Linked DNA regions of Diceros bicornis minor. The protein of the gene in region 1 purifies or fractionates together with the protein of each later gene. This does not show direct contact. Links are inferred from orthologs where the notes say so. Each region holds a gene or a part of one and is shown on either strand. Other genes may lie near its edges.

Region 1 (7,216 bases):
CTGGCATGCTTCTTCCCTCAAAGACCAAAGATTTGACCAGTCATGGTCCTGATCCCAAGGTCCCCAAAGAACCTGGTGTAACCAATGGCGCCTAATGTCTGTTTCTGTCATATTCCTTCCAGCCACTGTGATGTTTTAAATATATAATAGCACCTGGTTGTGAAAGAGACAATGATCTGCTAATGTCATTCCCAAATGGTCTCTCCCAAACCTTCCAGGATGCCTTACCGCTTGCTGTCTTGACAACCCTTTGGCTTCCTAGATCCCTGGAAGGAGGCAGTGTGGTGATGTTGAGAAAGCAGGTAGCTCAGATTCAGGGGACCTGAGTTCTAGTTCCTGGTCTGCCACTTACTGGCTGTGTGATCTTAAGAAAGCCCCTTTCCTTCACCCAGCCTCAGTTTCCCAATCTGTACAATGGATCAGAGGATCTCTGCAGTGTCTGCCAGCTAACACTGTCACTCCTGGGTCTGTAGCACATGTCCCCTGGCTAGACAGCTATGTGTCTCCCAGAGGTCTCTAAGCAGAGAAGCAGGTGTACTGTTGTACTTAATGGCATGTTGGTGCCTGCTGTCTCAGTGTTCCGTAATTACCAAAACAAGTAATTCTGGAACTTTTCTTCCCACTCTCTTCTACTCCTGTCCCTGAGAGAGGTGGTGGGACATTTCTGCATCTCACCCTTTAAAGATCATCGTCCCAGATGAGGGAGCTCAGATGTTCTCCCTCCTCAGCCTGCCCCACTAGGAATGGAGAACACACGATGCTCAGTCAGTATCTGGCGGCACTTGAGGACAACCTGGCGCTCCCAGAGGCCCTTCTTAAATGTGGTCTGTTCACTTTCCAAGTTCAAAGCTCCTGTCTGAAACCTCTCTTCACAGGATGGAGAGCAAACCCCATGCCAAACCAACACCTGCTGCTCTGGTGGAAGCCATCACACCCCTGGGCATGTTGCTCCCAACATAGGGTACCCCTACCCAGTCCACTGGGAATGTGAGGAGCTGTGGCTACCATTCATGAGAACCGCTACCATTTCATGAGAACACCCAGGCCACAGGGGTCAGTGAGCTGGAGGTCAGCGCAGAGCAGGAGACCAAACCTGTACGAATGACCAAACCTGAGCACTTCTCTAGCTCTGCATTCTGCCCGCTAAAGCCTTGGGTCATCTTAAAGCCACACCCTTACCCCGGCATGCTGCTCTGTGGCTGCTGCTAGGGTCTTAGTGCCACACTTTCCTCATGACTCCAACCTGGAGGAAGAGGAAAAAGTGGTAAGCTGGTAAATGTTTAGCAACCTGTTCTCTGGTGCAAAAAAGCCCCCATTTGTAGCATTTGCCAATTTCTGGGTATAAATACTCCCAGCATGGCTCTGAGAGGGGAGGAGATGCCAAGGATCTGCTCTGTATAGGCTGCCTCTAGCACACTCCCAGACGTTTCCCTACGTTAAACTCTACAGTACCCTTTCAGGACAATTCACTGTTCTTGTGGTCTATTTCTGCTATGAAGCTCTGATTGGTCTTCTTACCCCTACTGCTTAGCATCATCTCTGGAACACGATAAGCATGTATTTGTTTACTATGCTGCCAAAGATGGCTTTCCTGCCCAACAGATAAAAACCAAGTGCCACCTTGGAGACATCCCAGACTCTAGGGGGGGTCCCAAACTCCTCTGGGCTTCTTGGGACTTCTGCCTCTTCCTTCCCTCAATTGGGTCCACAACCTCAGAATTCCCTGGAGGAACCACTGGTGTAGCAGTCCACGTGGATTGTGGTGGTCTGAGTTCAAATGAATTTGTCCATAAACCGTTGGTATCTAAATCTGTGTGGCATCAGGGGTGAGTCGGAATTGCCCTGCAGTATAGCAGGGTGAGTTGCCTCCCTGTTTCCCTTTCTGGAAGAGCTTAGAAGAGCTTAAAAGGCATGCTGGGAAATCGCTGCTACTGGGGGTGGTGGGAAGAGTTTGGTCTGTTTCTTGAGTCATAGGGTAACCGGTGGGATGGCAAGCCACTGACTACAAACACTGGAGGCTTCTCCAACGAAGGGGGTAGGCATGTAAATCACCTCCAGCTGCACAGAAAAGACCCAGTTCTCTCTCTCCTCCCAGACTCCTTCTACAAAAATGGAGGGAACGCAGTTCTTATACACTTCTTTGACAAAAAATAAACTGCTCCCTTCGCTTGCTTTCCTTCCTTTCTTACCAAATGGCCAGTTTATCTGGAAGCTGCATTGCTTCCTGTACTGCTTCTCTTTCTGACTCTGCTGGTCTGGAAAAAGACCTAACAGTGAGTGTGCTTATTTATGTTGAGGGTAAGGGGTTGGGCTGGGGACTGCCAATATTCTGCTCCTCTGATATCCAGAGTAATGAGTGGGATTGAGACCAATGAGGCAGACAAGTCAGAATGAACAAATTCCTCAAGCTCCTCACTGCCAGGCTCAGAGGAGAAGCCAGTGAATTGCCTCTGGTCTGGGAGAGGATTTGTCTTCTAATGGGAGGACAGGAAGATAGGACACATGCCAAATCAGGACTTTGGTAATTAGGAGACTGGGACCTCTGGCTTCAGAGAGGATTAAATAGCAGCACCTCTGATAGGAAGACTGGAGAGTGGGATGTGAAGTCAAAAGTCTGACCATTAGGAAAGTGGAGGACCAGCTACTTTAGCTTCTCCATCTCCAGCGTAGGTCTATGGCTCTATCTAACTCTCTCTCTGTGACTATCAGAAAAGCCAGAGTATAAATTGTCTTTGGTTACCAGCCTAAAAGCTTCTCCTGTGGTTTCGAGCTTTCTAGATCACATGATTAACTGTGTAGCCTAATTAGAGGTGATCAGATATGCAGTCAAAAGCCTCAAATGACGCCATTTCTGTGTACAATGAATTTCCTAACCATGGCTCCATTCGCTGGACCATAGTCTTTAGATTGTATCCCAGACCCTCTAAAATGGGGAACAGGAATCCAGGCAGCTTGTTCCACGTAGGCAGGAGTCCTAACACCCAACGGTGGTGATGGTGGGAGGCGGGCAACGAAGGTCCGGGTAAATGTGGCAGGGAGCCCTGACTAAGGATTTAGGCCCTGGAGTCAAACGCCTGTATTCACATCCCACTCTGTAAGGCCACGGGCAACTTAAGGAGTAGCCTACACTTCCTGATGTGAAACTGGCTGTAAAGAGTTAAGTGAGCTAACCCACACAGAGTGCATTAGCTGGTGCCAGCACTGAGTAAGCACCCAATACGTGTTCACTAGTATTACCATGTGCCTACAGTCCCCAGGAATCCTAACCCATCTTGCCGGAGAAGTACCACGCTCATACCCATTACCCAGCTCACACATTTAATCAGAGGATTTTGGCAGCTGCAGGGCTGTCTTCCCATCCATGATCTCCCCTGGAAGTCACGCCCTGCTAGCACATCAGTGCAGAGGCAGCATCATAGACCACGAGTTTTAGTCCCATTCGCGGAGGGCAGACTGTCTTTCGGGCTGAGGTTTGGTCCGTGGCTCCCTGTCCGTGATGTATCCAGGCCCAGCCTATCTTTCTTCCTCTCAGGCTTCGGGGGCTTCCTTCACACACGGTGCCCTGTCGGATCACAGGGCTTCACCCAGCTCTGGCCAGTGGGACCCCGGCAGGCCGACGATCTGAGTCAGGATTCGAAGCCGCGCGCAGTGCCCGGGGTGACTCCTTAGCGCCGAGGCCTGTGTCGAGCCTAGAAGGGAAAGCAGGCGACCTCGGCCCGGCCCAGCCCAGCCCGGGTTCAGGGGTTTGCGCCCGGGCCCCGCCGGCTACCTGGTGGTGGCCCCGGGCGTTCCCGGAGGCCGCGGCGTAGCTCCTGAGTGAAGGTGTCTTTGAAGCGGGCAGCCCGGCGGCCCAGGGAGCCCGCGGGCCCAGCCGCGAGGCGTCGCAGGCGCCGGGCCGCGTCCTGGCCGCGCAGCTGGGCCTGCAGCAGTGCGAAGGCCGTGAGCTGCGCCGCGCGCCGGATCGGCCGCGACTCGGACAGACGCTCCACCAGCTGCTGGCTGTGCAGCAGGGCGCCCAGCAGCCGCCGAAGAACCATCCTCGGAGCCACCCGGAACCCGAAGCACGCCGCTCTTGCTTCTGCTCGGCGCTCCCCAACAACGGACCACGTCTGCGCCCGCGCCGCTGGGTGACGACACTGCCACGCTTGGATTGGGCCGCACGATTCCGACTTTCTGCAACCGCCCCCGCGCGTTTCCGCTTCCGCCTGGGCCGCGGCGGCCTCGTTGTTCCCGGAGTGGCGGCGTCGCCGACCAGCTGTGTGCACTATGTCCGGCGGCCTCCTGAAGGCGCTGCGCAGCGACTCGTACGTGGAGCTGAGCCAGTACCGGGACCAGCACTTCCGGGTGAGGGAGGCCGGGCTGCGAGAAGGGAAGGCCCTAGGCCGGGACGCCGAGAATCGGTTTGCTCTTGTCTCATTGTGTCGTCTCCCGTTCTCCAGTTTCCCGGGACGCGAAGAGAGGCCCCGGTGCCTCCTGGGGAATGGATGCTGAAAGGGCGTTTGGATGTCAGTGAAGCCCCATCTCTCATAGAAAGGGAGTTTGAGGCTCGCTTTCCCATTCCCTTGCAGCCGCTGCCTGTTAGCGGGCCACTGCAGAGCGGTTTGAGCGGCAGTAGTGGTGGCTCACGTTTTCACGGGCTGTGTCTCGGGAAGCTGACTTGGCGATGAGGGGAAGAGGTGTCCTTTGACGCCTGGAGTATGTGGAGGCGCCTTCCTGACCCAGATAGTGGGACTTTTTATTGCTTTTTAAAATTTTAAGTTAAATTAGCCAAACTGCCCCTTGGCGCTTCGAGTCCTGTCCTTGGTCTGGTAGAACGGTCCTACACAGTTCTACGCGGTGGATGGGAGACACAAATTTGAGTCCTGTCTCCACCCTTAGGGAAGCCCTTGGAGTGGGGAGGTGGACCAGCCAAGCTAGGCACATTAAGTGTCTGGATATCAGGATCAGAGAACTGCTGGGTTTCAGAAGGGGGAAATTTCAGTTTCGCCTATGTCATAGTAGATTATGTGGAAAAGGGAAGGCTGCAGATATTCGGGGTACGCTCTTCAGTATCAGCAAAGGCGGGGGTGGGGTGGACGACACATGAACCACTGGTTATTCAGTAAACTTTTATTGAGTGTTGTTGCTGAAGCCTTCTGCTAAACCTTAAAGGGAGAGAGAAGACAGTTTCGGCACCCTTAGAGTTCATAATCCTCTAGTAGGGATGGTAAATAGAGGTAAGTAACCTTAATCTAGAGCAGAAATGATGAGTGGAAAGGGAGGGGCTGTGAGGAATCAGAAGGGAGAACCCTTATGACTGGGAAAGGAGGGCCACATATAAAAGAGGGTAGGCATGGAGAATGTAAAATGTGTTGGTAGGGAAAAGGAAATTTTGTTTGAGGCGAAATTGAGGAAGATCTTAAATTCATTCACTCAGTCAACAGTTTTTAAATGCTTACTCTATGCCGGGCATGATTTTCACTTCTATTACTTTCACAGTTCTCATTACTTTAGAAAGTTCCACATCATAACCATCTTGAATTTCAAGCATCCTGCAAGATTAAAACTGTGAACAGTTTTAATTAACAGATAAACAGAAAAACGACTTTTTCTGTTATTCATCTCTGCAAGTCTAAAGCCTATAGCTTTATTTAGTAGAAAGATACTGTGATGCGGAATTTCTAGTGTTCCCTGAATGGAATCCACGTTAACATCACACGTTAAGTACTTACACCACAGTTGTCTTAAGCCATAGGGTATTTGTTTGGACATTACTTACAAGTGGGAGAAAACTAGAAAGAAAAATAAATGCCTCCTGACCATAATTTTAACAAATCAGTAACAGCAGTAATATAAAGTGAATCACTTTAATGTCTCATTCCAAAGTTCTGAAAGCCTATTTTAATGTAGAATGACTCTTGTCCTGTGAACTTTTTAGGGAGTATGAGATTGGGGATAAGACAGGGTTTGGATTCCAGCTACAACTACTGAGTAGCTGTGTGACCTTGGACAAGTTACTTAATAGTCTTTCCTCAGGTGTAAAACGGGGATAATAAATTAGGACATACCTCATTCAGTTCTGAAAATTAAATGAGCCCTCATACATGGAAATCCCTGACCTGCAGTTCCTTGATTCTCCCTAGAGGCAGACATAATTAACTGTTTCTTGTGTATGATATCTGTGTATATTCATACTTTTATGTAACTTGCAGCATACCTTTCACGTTCTGTACCTTCTTTTTTCACTTTGCTCTCTCTCGGAGATGTTCCATATCACTGCATGTGGATGTTAGATTTTTTTTGGGACTGCATAGTTTTATATTTATTGATGTACCATAATTTATTCCATTTTCCTTTTGATGGATGTGAGTTCAGATGGTTTCTCTGTTCTACCACTGAATGTGATCAGGAGACCTATTACTCAGCACTGTGCTGCAAAGCATTCAGACACGAATAATGCAGTCTTAGTCTCTGAGTGAAGGAAGCTGGATCAGCATTATGTATGGTGTAGTACATGAAGAAGGGAGGCCTCTTGGGAAATGCTCTGGGGGCCTGAGTATGGATCTACTGAGCTACTTTCCAAGCTGGAATACCACTGTATGGTTGATGTTAGAGCCGTAACCTGGGTCAGAGGGGCCTGCGAGCAGGTCACTTGGTAGGTCTTCTATTTAATCAGTATTCGTCCTCCCCAGTGTGGAGGAGGTGAGAAGAGAAAGTCGGAGGACGGCCACACAGGTTTCTGTGAAGCCATCTAAAATACCACGTCTAGCCCATGATGAGCCATCTTGTCCCCAGGGATTGTCAGGTGTGTTGGCTGAAGTCCAGTTGTATTCCTCTCGCTTCATCTTGTCTTCCAAATTAGGAAGCCCATCAAGAAAGTGAGATATCTTATTTTTAGTGATCCCTACATTTTCTTCTAAACTCAGAGAAAAATATATGAGCATGTAAAACCATCTAAGCAGTTGTTGCTTTGAACATTCTCTATGGAAGTATTATAAGGCAGTTCCCTATCTCTGAAAATCCGTTTATTTTTCATCATGAAGGATAAAAGGGTCCCCTCTAATATATTGGTTCAAGGTCCAGAAATTAAATTTGGGCCATTAGAGAAGGAGCCAGTGCTGAGGATATGGGGTGTACAGGGAAAAGGCATGCCACTTGTGTGGCAGTATAGTGCAGGAGGAGGACCTGCATAGTGCTTCATGGACTCTTTTTTTTTTTGGCAAGGGATTTGTGGTGG
Region 2 (7,196 bases), on another chromosome or scaffold:
GTTCTTCTGAAGTTCAGAGAGGAAGATATCACTCCTGGTTGGAAAGACAGTTAACAACTAACATTAATGTAGCAATTTCAAAGCACTTCCAACTTAATTCTCACAAAAACCCAGCGATTCAGAATTCTCATTCGTAGATGAGAAGATGGTTCAAGGAAGGTGACTTGCCTGGGCTTGCTCTGGTAGGAAGTCAACCCTACCAGATTCCGAGTGTTCAGAACTCTGAGTGGGTCTGAGTGTTCAGATTCTGCCGGTCCCTCTACTGCACCATGCTGGGAAAGCTTCACGGAGAGGGCAAACTCTTAGGCTGAGCATTTAAAGAGGGACCAATTTTGACAGGTAGAGATAGGGCCAGGGCTTTATAGATAAATTGAACAGCAAAGATATGAAGGCTGGAAAGGCTAAGACATACTTGGGAAGGGTTGAGTAGAACATGTTAGCTGAAGCATAAGCTCTGTGCAGGGGAGTCAGAAATAAGAAAAGTGTACTGCACTGTGGCTGGATCACACATGTTCTTAACCACCAGACTGAGGAATTTAGAAATGATTTGACAATGGTGAGGGGGAGGGGTGTACTGGATGTGGGGAGAAGAGGTAAAATCAGGAAGATCTGGAGAAGTTAGTCAGATTGTTGTGGAGAGGATGGAGGAGGCAGGGGAACCAGTTAGGATGCCTTAAGGTGGACTTGTGGGTGGCATGGGAAGAAGAGCCAGATTCAAGAAGCACTGAGTGGTGAATTAACAAGGTGACTAGGTGAGGGAGTTGGGAGAGAGGCAGGGAGTAAAGATGGCTCTTAGCTTTGAGTGGAGTCCCTGGAAGAATGGTTATGCCATTAACAGAGTAGGCAAATTTGCAGAAAGAGCTTCAGGAGGAAAATCAGGAACTCCATGTTGGATCTGTTGTGTTTGTGTTGCCTTCTGCGTATTGCCACCTGACTATCCGCTGGGAAGGTGGGTGGTGAGTCAGAGGAAGAAGAAGAGTGTGACTGACCACCCAGGCTTTGAGGGCCCTTCCTTCCTGTCTCTGCTCTGCTCCCCACTCCCCTGCTCCTTAATGTAAGTCCCTGATGGATACAATGCTTGATATATGGTGGATACTAAAAATATGTTTGGAAAAGAAATCTATTTAAAAGAAGAGTTGTCAGGAGAAGTTTCAGGGCAAAGGCAAAGACTAGAGTGAGGGAAAAGAGGAGATGGTTGCTAACAACGGGAAGCACCAAATTTGAGTCACTGGAGGCAGTTATTTCCCAGAGATTAAGAACTCTAAGGCCTGGTGGGAGCTACAAGTGGTAGAAATCTGGTAGAGTTAAGAATGTGGAGAGACTCTGGGGTCAGGGTACCAGGTGTGTGGATGTTGAAGTCACCAGGGATAATGGCAAAGAGTAAAACTGACTAAGTTAGACCTGGGCAAGAGGGGGCCCTGCTCTGGACCCTGCCCTTTAGAGGACCTCACTCTGGCTCTCTTCAGCTGCACCACTCCCCGTCGGGAGTCCATGCGGCCAAGGATTCATGCTCACTGGAACCTTGCCTCTAGACCCAGCTCTGGATACCAGAGCCCTGGGGTTCCCTGCTCAATGGCCACGCCTCCTTCCAGGGCCTTCTCAGGCCTCTTTCCTGGGTCCATCCCTTTGGGGGCACACGATGCTACTGCTTTGCACGCTCTAGGCCTGAGCAATGGCTAAGGGGCATCTCTTGAGGTGGGTAGGGGGATGTAAATAGAGCTTTAGTGGTGAGAAGCAGGACTTGAACTTCGTGGGTAGAGGTATGCACACATGTTCTTAAGGTCTATTCCAGTATAGGATGGCGCCGGGACATGGAAGAGAAGAAGAACAAAAAATGGGCTGGGGGCTGGCTTCCAGCCCTCTTTGCACCACCAAATTCTGAAGCAGAAGTCCAAGAAGTTGGGACGTTAGAATTCAAACCCAGACTTCCAGGTTGCAAAGGAAGTGCATTTGTCAATGTCAAAGGTTAGAATATATTTTATTTAAGTTTGTAAGCTTGATGTATAATTTTTAAATATTTATATATGTGCTATGTAGACCTCCATTTGTGATCTTGCCCTCATATGTAAGGAGTCTTAGGAATCAGCAGGTTATAAAGATCTCCCTACTGTGAGCCTTGACACCCACCACACTTTTGGGGTGACCACTTATTTTATTGTCTGTCTACTCTGAAAGACACGAAGCTGTGTGGAAGCAGGAACCAGGCTGTCTTGTTTACAAATGTATCCTAGTGTTGGTGCAATGACTGACACATGGTAAGTGCTCACTAAATATGTCTAAAACTTCAGAATGATGAAAGACAACACATCTGATGACAGCAAGTAGGGTGAAGAGAAGTGGTAGCAGGGGGTAAAGTAACCTGAAAAGAGAATGCCTTGCTCAATTATAATAGAGACTGAGCAACAGTCTAGAAGTTTCTCTTCCAGTCAATCAGCGAAAGTGGCAAACATGCACTTTCCATCACCTGAAGAACTAGAGTTGAAGCAATCTATTCACTCTAAGCTTCAGTTTTGGTTTTTTTCCCCCTCTTCAAATGAGTGGTTGGACTAGGATCACATAGTACAAAGTAAGAGCCTGGAGTTCTAAAGTGACTGATTCACAGAAGTGCATTAGAAAATGTGAATCAACATTTAAAAATGAAGTAAAAAGAACCCAGCTTTTTGGTTTGCCTTAAAAAAATGAACCTTTGGCAAGACTGGCCCACAGTACAATATGGCAACAATGGTCTGAAGCCTTTAAATGGGCCTGTGTTTTATCAAAAAGCCAATGTCCCATCACTAACAAAACAAATGCCCCAGACATAGCCTGGCCACCAAAGGCCTCATTTTTTTACCTCTGGACCCAGGCTCTTCAAGGCCCCTTTGCTTTGAAAGAATGTCTTCTTTAATCTCTTTATGGTTATATTTCTACCAACGTTTGAATGACCTCAGTGTCATTTGAATTGTACTGTAACATCGCATACCTCTTCTATCTGCCATAGATTCTGAAACTGAATTATTTCACATATAATCAAAGAAGTCCACTTGCTCCAGAAAGCAATACTCTATTAGTGTTATAGATCCAAATTTCCCTTGATCATTCCTCCGATGACATCTAAAGAGAGATGCTAGACTGGCGAGTCTGCGGACGAGTACTTGACTGCTGCCTAAAGGCTGAGAAGATTATGTGTGGTGGTGGAACAAGAGGTGTTTGGGGCACAGAAATGCAGGACCTCCTATAATGAAGGTTGCAGAACCGGGCTTGGAAGGATGATGAAGAAACCGAGAGACGCTAGAGCGCTCATTTGTTCAGGTATTTATGGAGTATTCACGACGTGCCAGGCACTTTTGATGCAAGGGATTCAGCCAACGTCCCTGCTCTTACTGAGTTAATTCCGGTGCGATAAGCTAGGTAACACACACATAAACACACATATCACATACATACATATGTACATGTCAGGTGGAAATGAATGCTATTTATAAAACCAAAGCAGACCAAGAGAACAGCGAAGGAGGGTGGCTGATACTCCACGAGACCCCAGAGAAGCAAGTGAGCAAACCACGAACCCTGCGTCGGTTATGCATTTTCTAGGCTGCAGGGAGAGAGGTGAGCCTCTCAGAAAGCCCTGCCCCCTCCTTCCCAATAGGGCGCAAGGTGCCGTCTCCGGGGAAGCTCCTCCCGCTTCCCCGCCCAGAGGCGGCCTTAGAGGCGGAGCTTCGCGACAAGGAGCTCAGAGCGCGCCGCGCAGAAAGGCGCGCGCTTAGTGTTCCCGGCATTCTTTTCGTTCTGTCAAGGCTAGGAGAATTACCCCCACTGGAGTCTGGCATGCTGGGAACTGTAGTCCCCCCCCCCCCCCCCAGTGCTCCGCGTCTAGCGGGCAGTAAAGCCGCTCAGTACGGCTCCGTTGTTGGCACAGGACTTGCAGGCCCTAGGGGTTGCGGGAAGGCCTTGTTGGGTGGGGTGGGAGTCACCCCGAGAACAACCGGGCACAATCAGCCGGAGTCCAGGCCCGTGGCCGCCCCTGGTCACGTGACCCCCAGCCTCCCCGGGCGCGCGCGCAGCTCCTCTGCGCTGTTCCCGCCCCACTCCTCCCCGCCCGGCCGACGGCCTGCGCCTCCCCCGGCGCTGCTGCCACCTCGCGCTCGGAGGCGTCACGGAACGTGCTCGCCTCTCCCCCTCCCCCTCCCTTCCCATCCCGTCCTCCCCCACCTCCCCCTCCCGCGCCGAGACTCGCCGCCGTCGCCGCAGCCGCAGGAGTAGCCGCCGCCGGAGCCGCGCGCAGCCATGGCTGAGAACCCCGGCTTGGAGAACCACCGCATCAAGAGCTTTAAGAACAAGGGCCGCGATGTGGAAGTGAGTGTGCTTCCGCGGTCGGGGCCCGCCCGGCTCGCCCGCCTGGCCGCGCTGGCCCCCGGCGGCGGGGAGGGGCGGGGGGCCGGCGCCGGGCTGGTTCTCGCCGGCTCGCGGTGGGTCAGAGTTGGCCGCCGCCTGCCGTCACCGCGGCCCGGGGCTGGGCGGAGCGGACGGCGGGACGCGGGCCGGGCTGCAGCCACCCTCCGGGGCTGCCGGCGCGGGGACCGGGAAATGCCGGGGTTTTCGGCTCCGTCACGCGGGCGCGGCCTGCTGTCGGCGAGGAAGGGATGTAGAGCTGAGGCGGGGTCCGCGGGCCGGGGCCTCGCGGGCCGGGGATGCTGCCGCCCCGGTCAGTCGACCGCACCGCCGAGGGGGCGGCGCGGCTCGCGCCGGCTGCCCGTGCAGCCTCCCGCCCGGCGCAGCCCCTCGCTGCGTCCCGCCCTGCCGCACATGGAGCCTCGGCTCTGCCGGTCCCCGCGCCTGCCTCCTGCGAGCCGGGCCCAGGCGGGCGGTGGCGGCCCGCAGAGGGGGGTGGGGACCAGCCGGGTAACTGACTTGTTTGAGGGTGGTGGATGGGGGAGGGTAGGATGCGCCAGGACCATTTTCTGATATTCCAAGGCTGTCCTTTGGACTAGTCGTGCTGAGCTGATCCAGCTCATACTCTTGTTACTGCTGGCATTTGGAGCAAGCTGAAGGTGGACAATAGTTTACCATCTATTGTGTTGAGGCTTCGGAAGAGACGTTGTTCCGACCTCCGCTCACAAGACTTGTTTTCTTAGCCTTTCTTGTAGTGAGGGTGTGTATAGGATAATAATTTCTTTGACATGTTTTACTGAAATAAATTGGATACGTAGGTTCATACGGCCTTATATATACCTCTTGCTCCCAGCTGGAAGAATTTCCGAGTGGTTGCAAAACTGTAAACATTCATCGTGGTCACAGTTCGTTGCTACTCAGCATGTTGCCATTGTCTCATTAAGGTGACATTAGCAGGTACTATTTGCAAACTCGGCTTATTGAGGCAGCGCTAGAGGTCTCTCTGCAGCTACTAAAAGCAGTGTAGTATAATGCATAAACTTCACTGGGACTTTGACCTCTGGATTTGTTAGGGGGAAAGTGGTTTTAAGTCCACAGTCTTTTTTTCTAATGCTAGATGACATGATTTGCAGTTTTGTAATTCTTGCTAAGGGGCCAGTGTGACTAGGAAGTGTGCATTTTGTCTCAGAGAGAAGGTGGTGGGGAAAATATGCCATTCAGCCTTGTTTCGTAGAAAACCAGACAAAACTCAGGCCATTTTTCAGAGCTCCAAAATTAAATACTAATTGGAAAAAACCTAGGGAAATACTGTGGAATTCCCGTTTGAATGAGACAGATAAAGGTCGTCTATCTCTGCCTCGGTCATGGTTAAATTTCTTTTGTGAGAAATACTTCTAAGCAAAAGTGAAACTTAGGAAGAGCAACAAGAAATTTTGGAACTGCCTCCTGTTATTGGTCCACTTGATGATAGGAGTTAATTTTGAACTTTTTCCATCAGTAGTTGTTCTTGAAGCTTACCCCTGTTATAAAGCAAAACTTATGTAGTTTGAAAAATAAGCATGTTGTTTGTAGAGAAGAGCTGACAACTTTCTTTCCTTTCTTGGGTGTTGTTACAGGTTTTTGTTTTATTGTTTGCCTCTGTTACTGTGTTCTGGGAACACAGTGATACCTAGTAGGGATTCCTGCATGTAATAAGTGCACAATAAATATTTGCTGATGATCAGAATGTAACCAGTGACTTCTGGATGCATGAAAAAGATACGTGGTTGCTAAGCCTTTCAGTCTGAAACTATTGGTAGTAACAACATCACGTTTCCCAGGATACATTAGGGTAACGAAGGGGTGAAATGGCAGACATTCAAATGGTAGTTCTATATGACAGAGACTAAACTAAGAGCTTCATGATACCTCATTTTATCCTTATAACAACTTTATGAGCTTGGTATGGCATTGTCCCCACTTTACAGAAGGAAAGCACTTTAGATGAGGAAACTCAAGAGTGCTTCATGTAGCCTGCGCAAGGTCACGAAGTGGGTACGAGCATTTGTTCACTAATTGTCTATTGGGTGTCTGATAATGTTACGTCTTGGGGATCAAAAGGGAGTAAAATTCAGTCTGTCCCTCAAGGAGTTTGCAGTTCCTCAAGGAGATTGCTGTTCAGTAGGAATGATAGAAAAGTAAATTGATAATTACAATGCAGTACATCAATAAGTGTATTCTGAGAATGCATGAAGAGATGCTAACTTGGAGCTGAGCAGTCAAGAGAGATGTTCTGGTTGATTCCTGGTGGATTGATGGGAATGAGCTGATCCTGAAGGATGAAAGAAAGTTGGCCGGGGAAAGGGAGAGGGCAAGGAAGGGGCATTCCAGACTTGAGGTGGCAGTAATTGAAGAGTCCTGAGAGAATGTAGTAGGACTGCTGTGAGAGAAAGGAGTGCTCGAGATGTGACTAAAGGGTAAACTGGGGTCAAATCTAATCAAATCTGATCCTTTATTGTGGATTTAGGTATCGCTAAGACTAAACACCATAACTAATTTAGTCTTATCCATTAGAAACTATATTACATTAAAAACTTATACTACGATTTAGCTCTGTGACTAAGTAGCGATCATCAGGCTATTTCAAAACAGTGAGATTCGCTCTGGCAAGATATCATTCCTACCTTTTCACATATAGGATAGATAAAAGATATAGTATAAATTATACAACTAGCTGATACACAAATAAGATGCTCGATGCAAGAATGAAATACATATTTTCTAAAGAAAATAAAAGTGTAGAGTTATGCCAGAGAATTGTGAGTGGGGAGAGGGTTGAGGAAGAA

The links. The genes of interacting proteins can lie anywhere in the genome.
Region 2: the proteins of NCBP2 (region 1) and KPNA3 purify together in Homo sapiens (co-immunoprecipitation; 3 studies listed by BioGRID and IntAct, with this or other methods). This does not show direct contact. The link is inferred for Diceros bicornis minor from reciprocal best matches to the Homo sapiens genes NCBP2 and KPNA3.

The regions. Positions count from the first base shown.
Region 1 is NC_080754.1:29,108,438-29,115,653, reverse strand, and holds the start of NCBP2 (nuclear cap-binding protein subunit 2), read left to right. Parts: upstream 1-4,199; 5' UTR 4,200-4,266; coding exon 4,267-4,344; intron 4,345-6,387; exon of another isoform or gene 6,388-6,634; intron 6,635-7,216. Other genes in the region: protein NCBP2AS2, read right to left, coding at 3,738-4,037. UniProt on the Homo sapiens protein: Component of the cap-binding complex (CBC), which binds co-transcriptionally to the 5' cap of pre-mRNAs and is involved in various processes such as pre-mRNA splicing, translation regulation, nonsense-mediated mRNA decay, RNA-mediated gene silencing (RNAi) by microRNAs (miRNAs) and mRNA export.
Region 2 is NC_080748.1:27,437,737-27,444,932, forward strand, and holds the start of KPNA3 (importin subunit alpha-4), read left to right. Parts: upstream 1-4,178; 5' UTR 4,179-4,266; coding exon 4,267-4,335; intron 4,336-7,196. UniProt on the Homo sapiens protein: Functions in nuclear protein import as an adapter protein for nuclear receptor KPNB1. Binds specifically and directly to substrates containing either a simple or bipartite NLS motif.